Linked DNA regions of Drosophila melanogaster. The protein of the gene in region 1 interacts with the protein of each later gene in a pairwise test. Each region holds a gene or a part of one and is shown on either strand. Other genes may lie near its edges. The genes, in order: CG4951 and Spt6.

Region 1 (4,660 bases):
GTTGAACAGATTTGGCAGCGTCATCTGGACGATCATCAAGCAGTTAACCTTTTGGTCCTCCGGCTGCTTGGGCTCCTTCAGCTTGTCGTCCATGCGGTAGAGAAACCGCATGGCTAGATAATTGGCCACCGCCTCCGTATGCTTGGCGCACACCTTGTCGAGCTCCACATAGTAAAAGTCGCAGAATTCGCCACCGGACGAGCCGTTGTAAAAGTCTATACCATTCCAGGCTATCTCGTAGTAGCTCCTCCACTGACCAAATCGCGGCACCTCCTCAATCTCACTGAGCAAATCGCACTTATCCCTATCGCTCTCGAACTTATCCTCAATACTGAGCGCCTCGCTCCAAAAAGCAAAGACGCCTTCGATCACGGCAGAGATTTCATCCTTCGTGAGATTGTATTCCTTCAGGTAGCCACGCATGCGATGCTCGTTGAGCTGGTAGGCCCGCGAGCTCGTATTGGCAACGTGAGCGGTGTGGACGACATGGTCAAAGCCCAGTTCGGGTAGCTTGAAGTACGGATTGAAGGGATGCTGCGGCAGAATTTCTTCGTGGATCAAACTGCGAACGCCGTAGTTGCTGAGATGGGCGCTCATGTTGAACCAACTGAAGCTGGAGGCGTTCCAGGCGTCTCTGTCGACGGCGGGAAAACCACCCAGCGACCTGATAACCGATAGATAAGCGGGATCGGCAGCGGGCCGCGGAAAGAGCTCGGCCGCCAGGCAGGAATTGTAGAAGCGTTGTGCAACGAGCAGCTCGGCGGACACGTTCAGTGCCTCCGCCAACTTTGTCCTGGTCAGCAGCTGCTCCGTCACGTCCATCAGTGTGTAGCTGATGTCCAGAATATTGCTCCGCCTATGGGGCGATTGCCGCGGCGTTTTCACGTTCTTCCAGTTGCCGCACGCGAACTCGTAGAAGTCGTCGCACGGATCGACGCTGAAGTTCATATAGGACTTCATCATGGCGCCATGGGATCGCAGGTAGTCGGCCGTCTCATCCGTAATCGCGTTCTCATGGGACTCGTCGCCAATACTCCTGGCCTCGCAGTCATTCAAAATCACGCAGATCAGGATGCAAACTGCCAGCCGCGTGTATAGGGGCAGTCGAAAGTAGCTCGAGATTGAGAGCATATTGGTCCGATTCGCAGGGCACACACGCAGTTTGTATAATATAATAAAGTAGTGCGGCCAGTGATCGATCGACCCGGATTATTTGAAAAACCCAACAAGCTCGACTACCTAATCCGGAACGCGATTGAGAACTGAGCAAGCAGCAGCATCTCTCCGATCCCATCGGCGTGTGCTTTTTTTTCGCAATCATGTTGACCAGCAGCACTGGACAACAGAGATTATAATGAATTATATTACTATGACGTCGTTCCGCACACTTTCACCATCTTTGGTGCGCATTCTAAGCCACTGCTTTGAATAATAAGGAGGAGGTCATGGGCATCCAAGCTATCTCTCTAGCCAACTTAGTTTTTAGGTAACCACTTTCGCAGAATGGGAACGATTTTGCTGCACTGTGTAGTCCGGCTGTTCTCTTGGCGAGACTTGACCTAAGCCACACGCTTCTGTTGATAAGGATTTGTAAGTTCTGGGAGATTCATTGATAGCGCCCCTCATTCATTCAGAGTAAAAACAATTCTCAGTTTTGGTTTCAAAATCTCATCGTCACTTGTGTCACACGATTGCACATTGTGAACACGTTCTGAACTTTTGTCCTAATTAACACTTAACACTTTTTTATCTTTGTTGTTTTTTTTTATAAATAAATGCATATATCAGGTGGATTCTTAATATGTTCATTATGCATAATTACTATTTTTATACTTTCTATAGAGATCTCTGTGGTAAAACGTAAAAGTATTTCTTGTCACGTTCCAAAAAAACATTTTGCAGTTTTCTCCAGATAATGAATATTTATGAATTGAATTCAGCTTAAGTTGATACTTTTTTGCCGCCCAAACGTCGATAAAAAAATACAATCGATAGACCACCAAAGCGCTCGTAGTGTGCCCAAAGATCCGCCCCGAATTGTTGTTGCTGTGCCTGTCAGCGGCTACGGTCACATCAGGACGCATAGCAATTTTATAAAAATGTCATTTTCCGCCATCGGTGATTGCCAACTAATTTCGCAATTATACCAGGTAAAAGCCACTGAGATGTGTGATCCGCCATGTCCTAAAGCAGCTCCCATTTCAGTACAAGAAGCACCGCGTCATCTGCAGCGTCAAAGTTCTGCCGACACCTGTGACCCATTTTGAGCGGGAATCCAAGAATGATTTCCATTGGATGACCGCGGATCGGTGGAGCCGGATTGAGTGTGGTCTATGGCGCCTGTTCGAGAACCTGAAGCAGTGGCAGGATGCCTACCAACTGGACACCGAGCTCATTATCGATCACATCATCGTGCGCGTCCAGGCGACCAATAAGTCGCATCCTGCAACGGTCGCTCTTCTGGCCGGTACGGAGTCCAGCTCCAAGGATCTCTGCCTGGACCTACAGCTGCAGTACATAACACAAGAGGACACCACCATTGTGGACGTCATTCCCGCCAAGCGCGAGCTTGCCACGGAAGCAGAAACAAATGGCACCAGACCCACATCCCGCAAGATCCGCGTAGCAAACTCAGGATCCAAGCCAAAAGCGGGGTAGGAAACCCTATTAATTAGTCCCAAATACTCCATAGGCTTGGATTGTGTGGTTTTTGATCCCAATAGCTATGAACCACCTTTGCACCTTTCACATTTTATGTACCGAAGTTGAATGCATTTTAATGTTTTCTCCACTGCATGTTTCCCCTCCAGCACACAATCGAAGCCCAAGCACATTGACGCCGACAACGAGGATGACAAGAGCTCCACCACGGCCAGCCAACCAACCAAGATCAAGAGCGAGCGCAGGTCCATTTCCCAAGGAGGCGAAAAGGATAAGGCTTCTTCCAGCAGCCCCAGTTCCTCGCAGCAGAGCAACCGCATTAAGCGATCGCACAGTCCATCACAGCAGTGAGTTAGGCGAAGGCTAGGATGTGAGAGAACTAAGAGCCTATTGATCTATTCGCAGGAATTCCAGATCCAGCTCCGTTGAGGCCAAGCCTGCACGCCGCTCCGGCCGATCGCCCATACGCCCGAGTCGATTCAAAAACTTCGTAGTTGGGTAAGCCATAGAAATATGGTGCTATAGCGATCAGTTTCATTCATCATTTCCCTGGCTGCCATTTTCAGCGAGACCAGGAGCGGCAAGAGCAGAGGACCCAAGCCCAAAGTGAAACGAGTATCGCCAGTGCCGGCCAAAGATTTCAAGGTGGAACACATGGACGGAGGGCGGTTCAATGCATTGCAGCGGCTGGACAGCATGCTGGACACGCCCAAGCCGCGCGAGGTTAAGATTTTGTAAGTGACTCGACTAGATGCAAATAAAGCGAACACGAATGTGCCTTCAACTTGCGTTCTTTTGATTGGCTCAGACTCTTGGAAAAAATGGGCGAGGACGAGGTGCTGAATACGTTCGAAAACTATCGCAGCGACTTCGATAAGCTGTTCAAGGAGCGCGAGTTCAAGCCGCGCACCAGTCACTACATGAACATTGCCCACATGGACGTCATCGACATACTGAGCAAGAGCATTCACCAGCAGATGCTCAAGAAACTGGGCGAGGTCTACAGCAGTCGAAGCGTAAGTTTGGGGCGTCCTGGAGTGACACACATATCCATCCTAACATGTCCCGATTACCAGAACCACACGTCGCTGCTGGTGAACGGACTGCTCCCGCTGTGGATAGTGCGCCTCTTTATGGACACATACACGCTGTCCCAATCGGAGGCCGTGCAGCAGATCCGCGACCAGATGAAGTACAACACCTACTTGAGGGCCCTGAACGATGAGCCGCTGAGTTCCGATCTTGACTGATCGAGCAATCAATTCACTTTTTAACTATTTTTTGGTATCCGATTGCGGAAATTTTACATTGCGCGCCATATTAAATAGGCAGTTGTTTTAGTTTTAAATTCATTTGTCTTTATTTGTTTTGATTGGAATCTGTTGTGTACTAAGCATATTACATTGTATAAATACATAATTCACTTGCTTTCGAAAAAAGAAAACGCTTGAGCAACCAAGTGTGCTGGCTGAAATGGTGGAGTGCTCTCTGGGCGACTGGCGGTGATGACGGCGTGGGCGAAGGACTACGAAATTATTTTACTTAGAATCTAGCGTGTAATGTTGATGGAGTGCCCGCCCGGCCACCCGGTGGCGGTTTAAAACTCAGTCTGAACTTCACACTCTTATGTACAATCTATTTGGACAGTGGGTGAGGTGAAGTAGTTTACAGCTCGTCGTGCTGCTGCTCCTCCTCCTCATCATCGGCGTTGCCGCTCTCCTGGCTGCCGGTGGCGGTCTCCTCGGCATCATCCTCCTCCTCCTCGTCGAACTCCACCTGCTCGTCTTGGGAGACACCCAAGGTCTGGCGCATCATCTGCTCAATACTGTCGGCGAACTGCGAAGTCTCCTGGAGCATGTATCCAGACCGCAGGGTGGCGGTGCGGAACATCATCACAGCCATGTCCTTGGCGGTGTCATCGGCCTCGTCGGCCTCCACGCGGCGCAGCAGCTCGCGCATCAGCGGATGCCTGGGATTGATCTCGAGCGTTTTCTTCTGG
Region 2 (8,082 bases), on another chromosome or scaffold:
ATGGAGTGGGGCTAATATTTTGTGGGAAATTCGTTGCCGGCTGGCTGGAAACTGCAGCCGGCGTCGCTTGGAAAGGGAAAACTTCGAGTTGCAGCAACAAAAAACGCGTGTATGCCGCACAAACCGCACACAAGCAAACAAGCGCTGTTTCACACACACACACATATATATATATATTTACACGGACGCTTGCAGAATGTTGGGCGTTTCCACGTGAGGTTATGTTTGTCGATAAAAAAAAAATGAAATGAAATGGAGAAAAGAAGGAATTATGAATAAAGTTTACTGTACATGGTGCAACAAACGTGGGGCGGTGGGCTTACTCAATGGTAAGGAGAGCGAGAAAGAGCGGGAGAGAGCGAGGGAAAGCCGTATGAATGGGGTTAGAGAAAGAGGCGGAATGGAATCATGTTGCCGGGAATGGCGAGAATGGAAAGGGAGTCAGTCAGTTGGTTGGGAAGAGTGCGGAGGGGGGAAAATGGACGTGGAAAACTTACCGCTCCAGCGTGTAGCGGACCAGCATGACAACAGCGGCGAATGGAATGGGCCATATGAGGTCCTTGTAGTTGGCGTGCACCACATCTGGACGCGAGCCGGGCGCAATGTCCGCCCAGGTTGTGTTCGGCGGCAGCCAAATGTGCGTACTCCAGAATACATTGCTGAACTCATTCAATATGTCCATGTTGCTGCTTCAGTTGCCGCTTCTTAATTTCTCAATTGTTTGTTTTCTTTTTCTTGGTTTTCCTTTGCTTAGCTTTCCAGTTTTTCCTTGGCGTTTGTTGTCACATATGTATATGCTTTGCTTTTTCTAAATATTCGCAATTGTATGAGCCTGTGTTATTGTGCCTTGCGAACAACAGCAACAATAACAGCAAGAACAACAATAAGCGACAACAACAGCAACAAGAACAACAACAGGAGCACCGGACACTAATGCACACTCACAGCGTAGCACAAACACACACTGGCAAAAAAACAAAAACCGCCGAATCGAATTGTTGTTGTCTTGTCTCGTTAACTTGCGCTTATGGCTTTTCTAATTCTACTTCTATTTCTATTTGGATTTCGATTTAATTCGTTTTTGGAAATGCTACCTTTGCCGTTTGTTTGGGAGCGTAAATGAAGTGAAGTTCCCTGACAATCTGTTCTCGACCAAAGCAATAGACTTTCTGAATTTCGGCTCGGTGTCGAGTCGGCCGCCGCTCGTTTCGTCCACTTAAACTTTCAGGATGAACGAAAAAAAATACTAATAGTATTTCCTCGTCGAGCAACAACAATACAGTGTGCCCAGAGACGGCGGAGCAGTAAATGTAACTGCAGCGCGACAAGTGTGCCCGTGTACGGGAAGACAAGGAAAGCCAGCAAAAATAAGGCTTTAGAAGCTACACAAAATACCAAATGCACTAATAATTTTAAAGAACTTTTAATTCACAAGTTTGCGAATTTTGTTTATTGCTTATTATTATTATTGTTCATTACGTTTACCACTAGTTTTTGAGAGAAATTATTATGCGCTACAATTAGTGTTGGTTTTTCGGTAAGAACTCATAAAAGTCAACTATGTAAAGGAAGTATGCCATGGACTATAATGGAAATTAGCAAACTTCATCGTTGAGACCAAAGGGCATATGTGTGTTCCCATATAGGGGAATTTTCCCGCTTATCAATACAAGTATGTGTGCAAAATTCTTGTCCAATTGTTGTCAGCACATGAAAACGGATAACTAACCATAGGTTATAGGAAGGATCCACTGTAGTTCTGCAATGCAAACCAGGGCTGGCAGCGAGAACACTGCTGTAAGCTAACAGCAAACTGTACTGTAAACAGTAGAAAACTGTTCGTGGTATTTAGTATTTAGCTAGTATTTTAATACCAACTTTTGTGCAATGCGATGAGAAATAAAGAAGAAGAGAAGAGGAAGAAACGCTCACAAACTCTTCGTTTCTCTGCATTAATACGCACTTTATTATTAAGTTAAGCTTTATTCCATTATATTATGGCCGAATTTCTGGACTCCGAGGCCGAGGAATCGGAGGTAGGTGTCTGCGGAACCCCAAAAACACTATTTCTAGAAGCGCGTACCGTTCGTGCGTCGTTATGTGTGCGGTGTGCGTTGCGCCTTGCGTGTGTGTACATACATATGTGCCTACATATATATTGAATTAACCAAATGGCTTTTCTTCGTTTTTCCCGCAGGAGGAGGAAGAATTGGACGTCAACGAGCGCAAGAGACTCAAGAAACTGAAGGCGGCCGTCTCCGATAGTAGCGAAGAAGAAGAAGGTGAGTTTTTCCACTGGAGCCGCTGAAGGCGCGTACAAATACATACATACATACATACGTATGTGGCGATCTCTGGCGGGTTTTTCACCCCTCTCACCATCCATCGATCGGAACAGTCCATATCCGGGATAAAGGCACCTATAACTGGCCAATGCCACACGCTTGCAACTTCTTTTGTTTACAACTTTGAGGTTAGGTCTTGTGTTTTTACCGTGCTACCGTGGCCATCAAATATCAGCATCAGCAGTAGCAATAGCAGCAGCAACAACAACAAACAGCTGCGCTCGTTCCAGTAAATAAAACAAGTGCGGCGAATTGGAAGAACGCGGCGTATTCCAAGAAATTGCAAATCAAAGCAGGGAGGGAGAATTAGTTCAATAGATGGAGCTGGAATAATCAATGGTTAGGGCTTATCTATATCGAAATCTAGGTAATTTATCAAATGTAGGTCTTTCTCAAAACCGGGTGAATTACTTAAATTTAAGCTTTAAAAACAGTTTTCAGTTGCATATGTATATCTGCGGCTACAATGAAGGTAAAAGGTAAACCGATATTCTTATTGCCCTATTCCGTAGACGACGAGGAACGGCTGCGCGAAGAGCTCAAAGATCTGATCGACGACAATCCCATCGAGGAGGACGATGGCAGTGGTTACGATTCCGATGGCGTCGGCAGCGGCAAGAAGCGCAAAAAGCACGAGGACGACGATCTGGACGATCGACTGGAGGACGACGACTACGATCTTATCGAGGAGAATCTGGGCGTCAAAGTCGAGAGACGGGTAGGTGTTCCCTTCAGGGAAGAACTATGTACTTTTTAAACTCCAATTGTGGCTCCAATTTCGAAGCTTAACTAACAAAGAATAACATAGCTGAGGGATTGGGGCTTCTATCTCCTCAAATATATTGTTTGAAATTATGTTTTCCCTTGTAGAAGCGGTTCAAGCGTCTGCGTCGCATCCACGACAACGAAAGCGATGGCGAGGAGCAGCACGTGGACGAGGGTCTGGTGCGTGAGCAGATTGCCGAGCAGTTGTTCGACGAGAACGATGAGGTATGCCACTAGTAATCCCTGACCACCAATTAATGCACAGTGTCCAACTGATTGCCCCTGATCCTACAGAGCATTGGTCATCGCAGCGAGCGCAGTCACAGGGAGGCGGACGACTACGACGACGTGGATACGGAGTCGGACGCAGATGACTTCATTGTGGACGATAATGGGCGTCCCATAGCCGAGAAGAAGAAGAAACGGCGCCCCATCTTTACAGACGCGTAAGTATACAAACTATAATAAAGTTTAGATATCAATAGATACGATTAATATAATCCAACCACAGATCACTTCAAGAGGGTCAGGACATCTTTGGCGTAGACTTCGACTATGACGACTTCTCAAAGTACGAGGAAGACGACTACGAAGATGACTCGGAAGGAGATGAGTACGATGAGGATCTGGGCGTCGGCGATGATACGCGCGTCAAGAAGAAGAAAGCGCTCAAAAAGAAGGTGGTCAAGAAGACAATCTTCGACATATACGAGCCCAGCGAGCTCAAGCGTGGTCATTTCACCGATATGGACAACGAGATTCGCAAGACAGACATCCCAGAAAGAATGCAGCTGCGAGAGGTGCCCGTAACCCCGGTGCCCGAGGGATCAGACGAGCTGGACCTCGAGGCTGAATGGATCTACAAATATGCCTTCTGCAAGCACACTGTTTCGGAACAGGAAAAGCCGGAGAGCCGCGAGAAAATGCGCAAACCACCGACAACCGTTAACAAGATTAAGCAGACGCTAGAATTTATACGCAACCAGCAGTTGGAGGTGCCCTTTATAGCCTTCTATCGCAAGGAGTATGTGAAGCCAGAGCTTAATATCGACGATCTCTGGAAGGTTTACTACTACGATGGGATCTGGTGTCAGCTAAACGAGCGAAAGCGCAAGCTAAAGGTGCTTTTCGAAAAGATGCGTCAGTTCCAGCTGGACACGCTATGCGCCGACACAGATCAACCCGTACCGGATGATGTTCGCCTCATCCTGGACAGCGATTTCGAGCGCCTCGCCGACGTACAGTCGATGGAGGAGCTAAAGGACGTGCACATGTACTTTCTGCTGAACTATTCGCATGAGCTGCCCCGCATGCAGGCGGAGCAGCGACGAAAAGCTATACAGGAGCGTCGCGAGGCCAAGGCGCGTCGCCAGGCAGCCGCCGCTGAGAACGGTGATGATGCGGCCGAGGCGATAGTTGTACCAGAGCCGGAAGACGATGACGATCCCGAGCTGATCGATTACCAACTAAAGCAGGCGTCCAACAGCAGTCCCTATGCGGTATTCCGCAAGGCGGGCATCTGCGGCTTTGCCAAACACTTTGGTCTCACGCCGGAGCAGTATGCCGAAAATCTGCGCGACAATTACCAGCGCAATGAGATCACCCAGGAAAGCATCGGTCCCACAGAGCTGGCCAAGCAATATTTGTCGCCGCGCTTCATGACCACGGATGAGGTTATCCATGCCGCAAAATACGTTGTGGCCCGACAGCTGGCACAAGAGCCTCTGCTGCGCAAGACCATGCGTGAGGTGTATTTCGACAGAGCTAGGATTAACATACGGCCCACCAAGAATGGCATGGTGCTGATCGATGAGAATTCGCCGGTGTATTCGATGAAGTACGTGGCCAAGAAGCCGGTAAGCGATCTATTTGGCGATCAATTCATAAAGCTAATGATGGCCGAGGAGGAGAAGCTGCTGGAGATAACGTTCCTCGAGGAGTTCGAGGGCAATGCGTGTGCCAACGGAACACCCGGTGACTATGTGGAAGAGTCCAAGGCCCTGTACCAGCTGGATCAGTTTGCCAAGCACGTGCAGGAGTGGAATAAGCTGCGGGCGGAATGCGTACAGCTGGCGCTGCAGAAGTGGGTCATTCCGGATCTGATCAAGGAGCTGCGCTCAACTCTGCACGAGGAGGCTCAGCAATTTGTGCTGCGTTCCTGCACGGGTAAGCTGTATAAGTGGCTAAAGGTGGCACCCTATAAACCGCAACTGCCCCCCGACTTTGGCTACGAGGAGTGGAGCACGCTGAGGGGCATACGGGTGCTGGGTCTGGCCTACGATCCCGATCACTCAGTGGCCGCTTTCTGTGCGGTGACTACCGTGGAGGGCGACATCTCCGACTACCTGCGACTGCCGAACATTCTGAAGCGCAAGAATTCTTACAACCTTGAGGAGAAGGCCCAGAAGTTGGCCGACCTTCGAAAGCTGAGTGACTTTATCAAAATGAAGAAGCCACACATTGTTGTCATCGGAGCGGAATCGCGCGATGCCCAGAACATCCAGGCAGACATTAAGGAGATTCTGCATGAACTCGAGACCTCCGAACAATTTCCGCCCATCGAGGTGGAGATAATCGACAACGAGCTGGCCAAGATCTATGCCAACTCGAAGAAGGGCGAGTCTGACTTTAAGGAGTATCCTCCTCTGCTGAAGCAGGCTGCTTCGCTGGCCCGCAAGATGCAGGATCCGCTAGTGGAATACTCACAGCTGTGTGATGCGGACGACGAGATTCTCTGCCTGCGCTACCATCCGCTACAGGAGCGTGTGCCGCGCGAACAGCTGCTGGAGCAGCTCAGCCTGCAGTTTATCAATCGAACGAGCGAGGTGGGTCTGGACATTAACCTGATGGTGCAGAACTCACGGACCATCAACCTGCTGCAGTACATCTGTGGCTTGGGTCCGCGCAAGGGTCAGGCTTTACTTAAACTTCTTAAGCAGAGCAACCAGCGGTTGGAGAACCGCACCCAGCTGGTCACCGTGTGTCATCTGGGGCCCAGGGTCTTTATCAACTGCAGCGGTTTCATTAAGATCGATACCTCATCGCTGGGCGACAGCACAGAGGCGTATGTCGAGGTGCTGGACGGGTCGCGTGTGCATCCAGAAACGTACGAGTGGGCCAGAAAGATGGCCATCGATGCCATGGAGTACGACGACGAGGAGACCAATCCGGCCGGTGCCCTTGAGGAAATTCTCGAGTCGCCAGAGCGCCTTAAGGATCTCGATCTGGACGCATTCGCTGTGGAACTGGAGCGCCAGGGATTCGGCAGCAAGAGCATAACCTTGTACGACATAAGGAACGAGTTGAGCTGCCTGTACAAGGACTACCGCACTCCGTACACAAAGCCCAGTGCGGAGGAGCTCTTCGATATGCTGACCAAGGAGACGCCCGACTCGTTTTATGTGGGCAAGTGCGTCACGGCCATGGTCACCGGTTTCACCTACCGTCGGCCGCAGGGCGATCAGCTAGACAGCGCAAATCCGGTGCGTCTAGATTCCAACGAAAGCTGGCAGTGCCCCTTCTGCCACAAGGACGACTTCCCAGAGCTGTCCGAGGTGTGGAATCACTTTGACGCGAACGCGTGCCCTGGCCAGCCATCTGGTGTGCGTGTGCGTCTGGAGAACGGCCTGCCTGGCTTTATACACATCAAGAACTTGTCCGATAGACAGGTTCGCAATCCCGAAGAACGTGTGCGCGTCTCACAGATGATTCATGTTCGCATCATTAAGATAGACATTGACCGGTTCTCAGTCGAATGCTCTTCGAGGACCGCTGATCTTAAGGATGTGAACAATGAGTGGCGGCCGCGTCGCGACAACTACTATGATTATGTGACTGAGGAGCAGGACAATCGGAAAGTGAGCGATGCCAAGGCCAGGGCTCTGAAGCGCAAAATTTACGCGCGTCGCGTAATCGCCCATCCCAGCTTCTTCAACAAGTCGTACGCGGAGGTGGTGGCCATGCTAGCGGAGGCCGATCAGGGCGAGGTGGCCCTGCGTCCGAGCAGCAAGTCCAAGGACCATCTGACAGCCACCTGGAAGGTGGCCGACGACATCTTCCAGCACATCGATGTGCGCGAGGAGGGTAAAGAGAACGATTTCAGCCTGGGCAGAAGTCTGTGGATCGGCACCGAGGAGTTCGAGGATCTGGACGAGATCATCGCCCGCCACATCATGCCGATGGCCTTGGCTGCCCGCGAACTGATACAGTACAAGTACTACAAGCCAAACATGGTGACCGGCGATGAAAATGAACGGGATGTCATGGAAAAGTTGCTGCGCGAGGAGAAGGCAAATGATCCGAAGAAGATACACTACTTTTTTACGGCCTCACGCGCCATGCCGGGCAAGTTCCTGCTGTCCTATCTGCCCAAGACGAAGGTGCGTCACGAGTATGTGACGGTCATGCCGGAGGGCTATCGTTTCCGTGGCCAGATTTTCGATACGGTTAACAGTCTGCTGCGTTGGTTTAAGGAACACTGGCTGGATCCAACGGCCACGCCGGCCAGCGCCTCGGCGTCCAACTTAACGCCACTGCACTTGATGCGTCCGCCGCCGACGATCTCGTCGTCATCCCAGACCTCCTTGGGCCCCCAGGCGCCCTACAGCGTCACTGGCAGCGTGACTGGTGGAACGCCGCGCAGTGGCATCAGCAGTGCCGTCGGCGGTGGCGGTTCCAGCGCCTACTCCATTACGCAATCCATCACTGGCTACGGCACGTCGGGCAGTTCTGCTCCAGGGGCTGGAGTATCTTCCTCCCACTATGGCAGCTCATCGACGCCGTCGTTTGGCGCCATCAATACGCCATACACGCCCAGTGGACAGACTCCGTTCATGACGCCCTACACGCCGCATGCCTCACAGACGCCTCGCTATGGTCACAATGTGCCCAGTCCCAGCTCGCAATCATCGAGCAGTCAGAGGCATCACTACGGCAGCAGTTCCGGAACGGGCAGCACGCCCAGGTATCACGA

What was found.
Region 2: the proteins of CG4951 (region 1) and Spt6 interact in a two-hybrid assay, tested with the Drosophila melanogaster proteins (one large-scale study listed by BioGRID).

The regions. Positions count from the first base shown.
Region 1 is NT_033777.3:27,951,492-27,956,151, reverse strand, and holds CG4951 (uncharacterized protein), read left to right. Parts: upstream 1-2,039; 5' UTR 2,040-2,099; coding exon 2,100-2,150; intron 2,151-2,205; coding exon 2,206-2,654; intron 2,655-2,810; coding exon 2,811-3,008; intron 3,009-3,066; coding exon 3,067-3,159; intron 3,160-3,227; coding exon 3,228-3,395; coding exon of another isoform or gene 3,396-3,399; exon of another isoform or gene 3,400-3,450; intron 3,451-3,469; coding exon 3,470-3,677; intron 3,678-3,737; coding exon 3,738-3,911; 3' UTR 3,912-4,101; downstream 4,102-4,660. Other genes in the region: Nep7 (neprilysin 7), read right to left, coding at 1-1,131; Gp93 (glycoprotein 93), read right to left, coding at 4,327-4,660.
Region 2 is NC_004354.4:6,265,910-6,273,991, forward strand, and holds the start of Spt6 (Spt6), read left to right. Parts: upstream 1-1,887; 5' UTR 1,888-1,997; coding exon 1,998-2,036; intron 2,037-2,197; coding exon 2,198-2,282; intron 2,283-2,857; coding exon 2,858-3,063; intron 3,064-3,215; coding exon 3,216-3,335; intron 3,336-3,404; coding exon 3,405-3,556; intron 3,557-3,621; coding exon 3,622-8,082. Other genes in the region: schlank, read right to left, coding at 498-682. UniProt on the Drosophila melanogaster protein: Histone H3-H4 chaperone that plays a role in maintenance of chromatin structure during RNA polymerase II transcription elongation.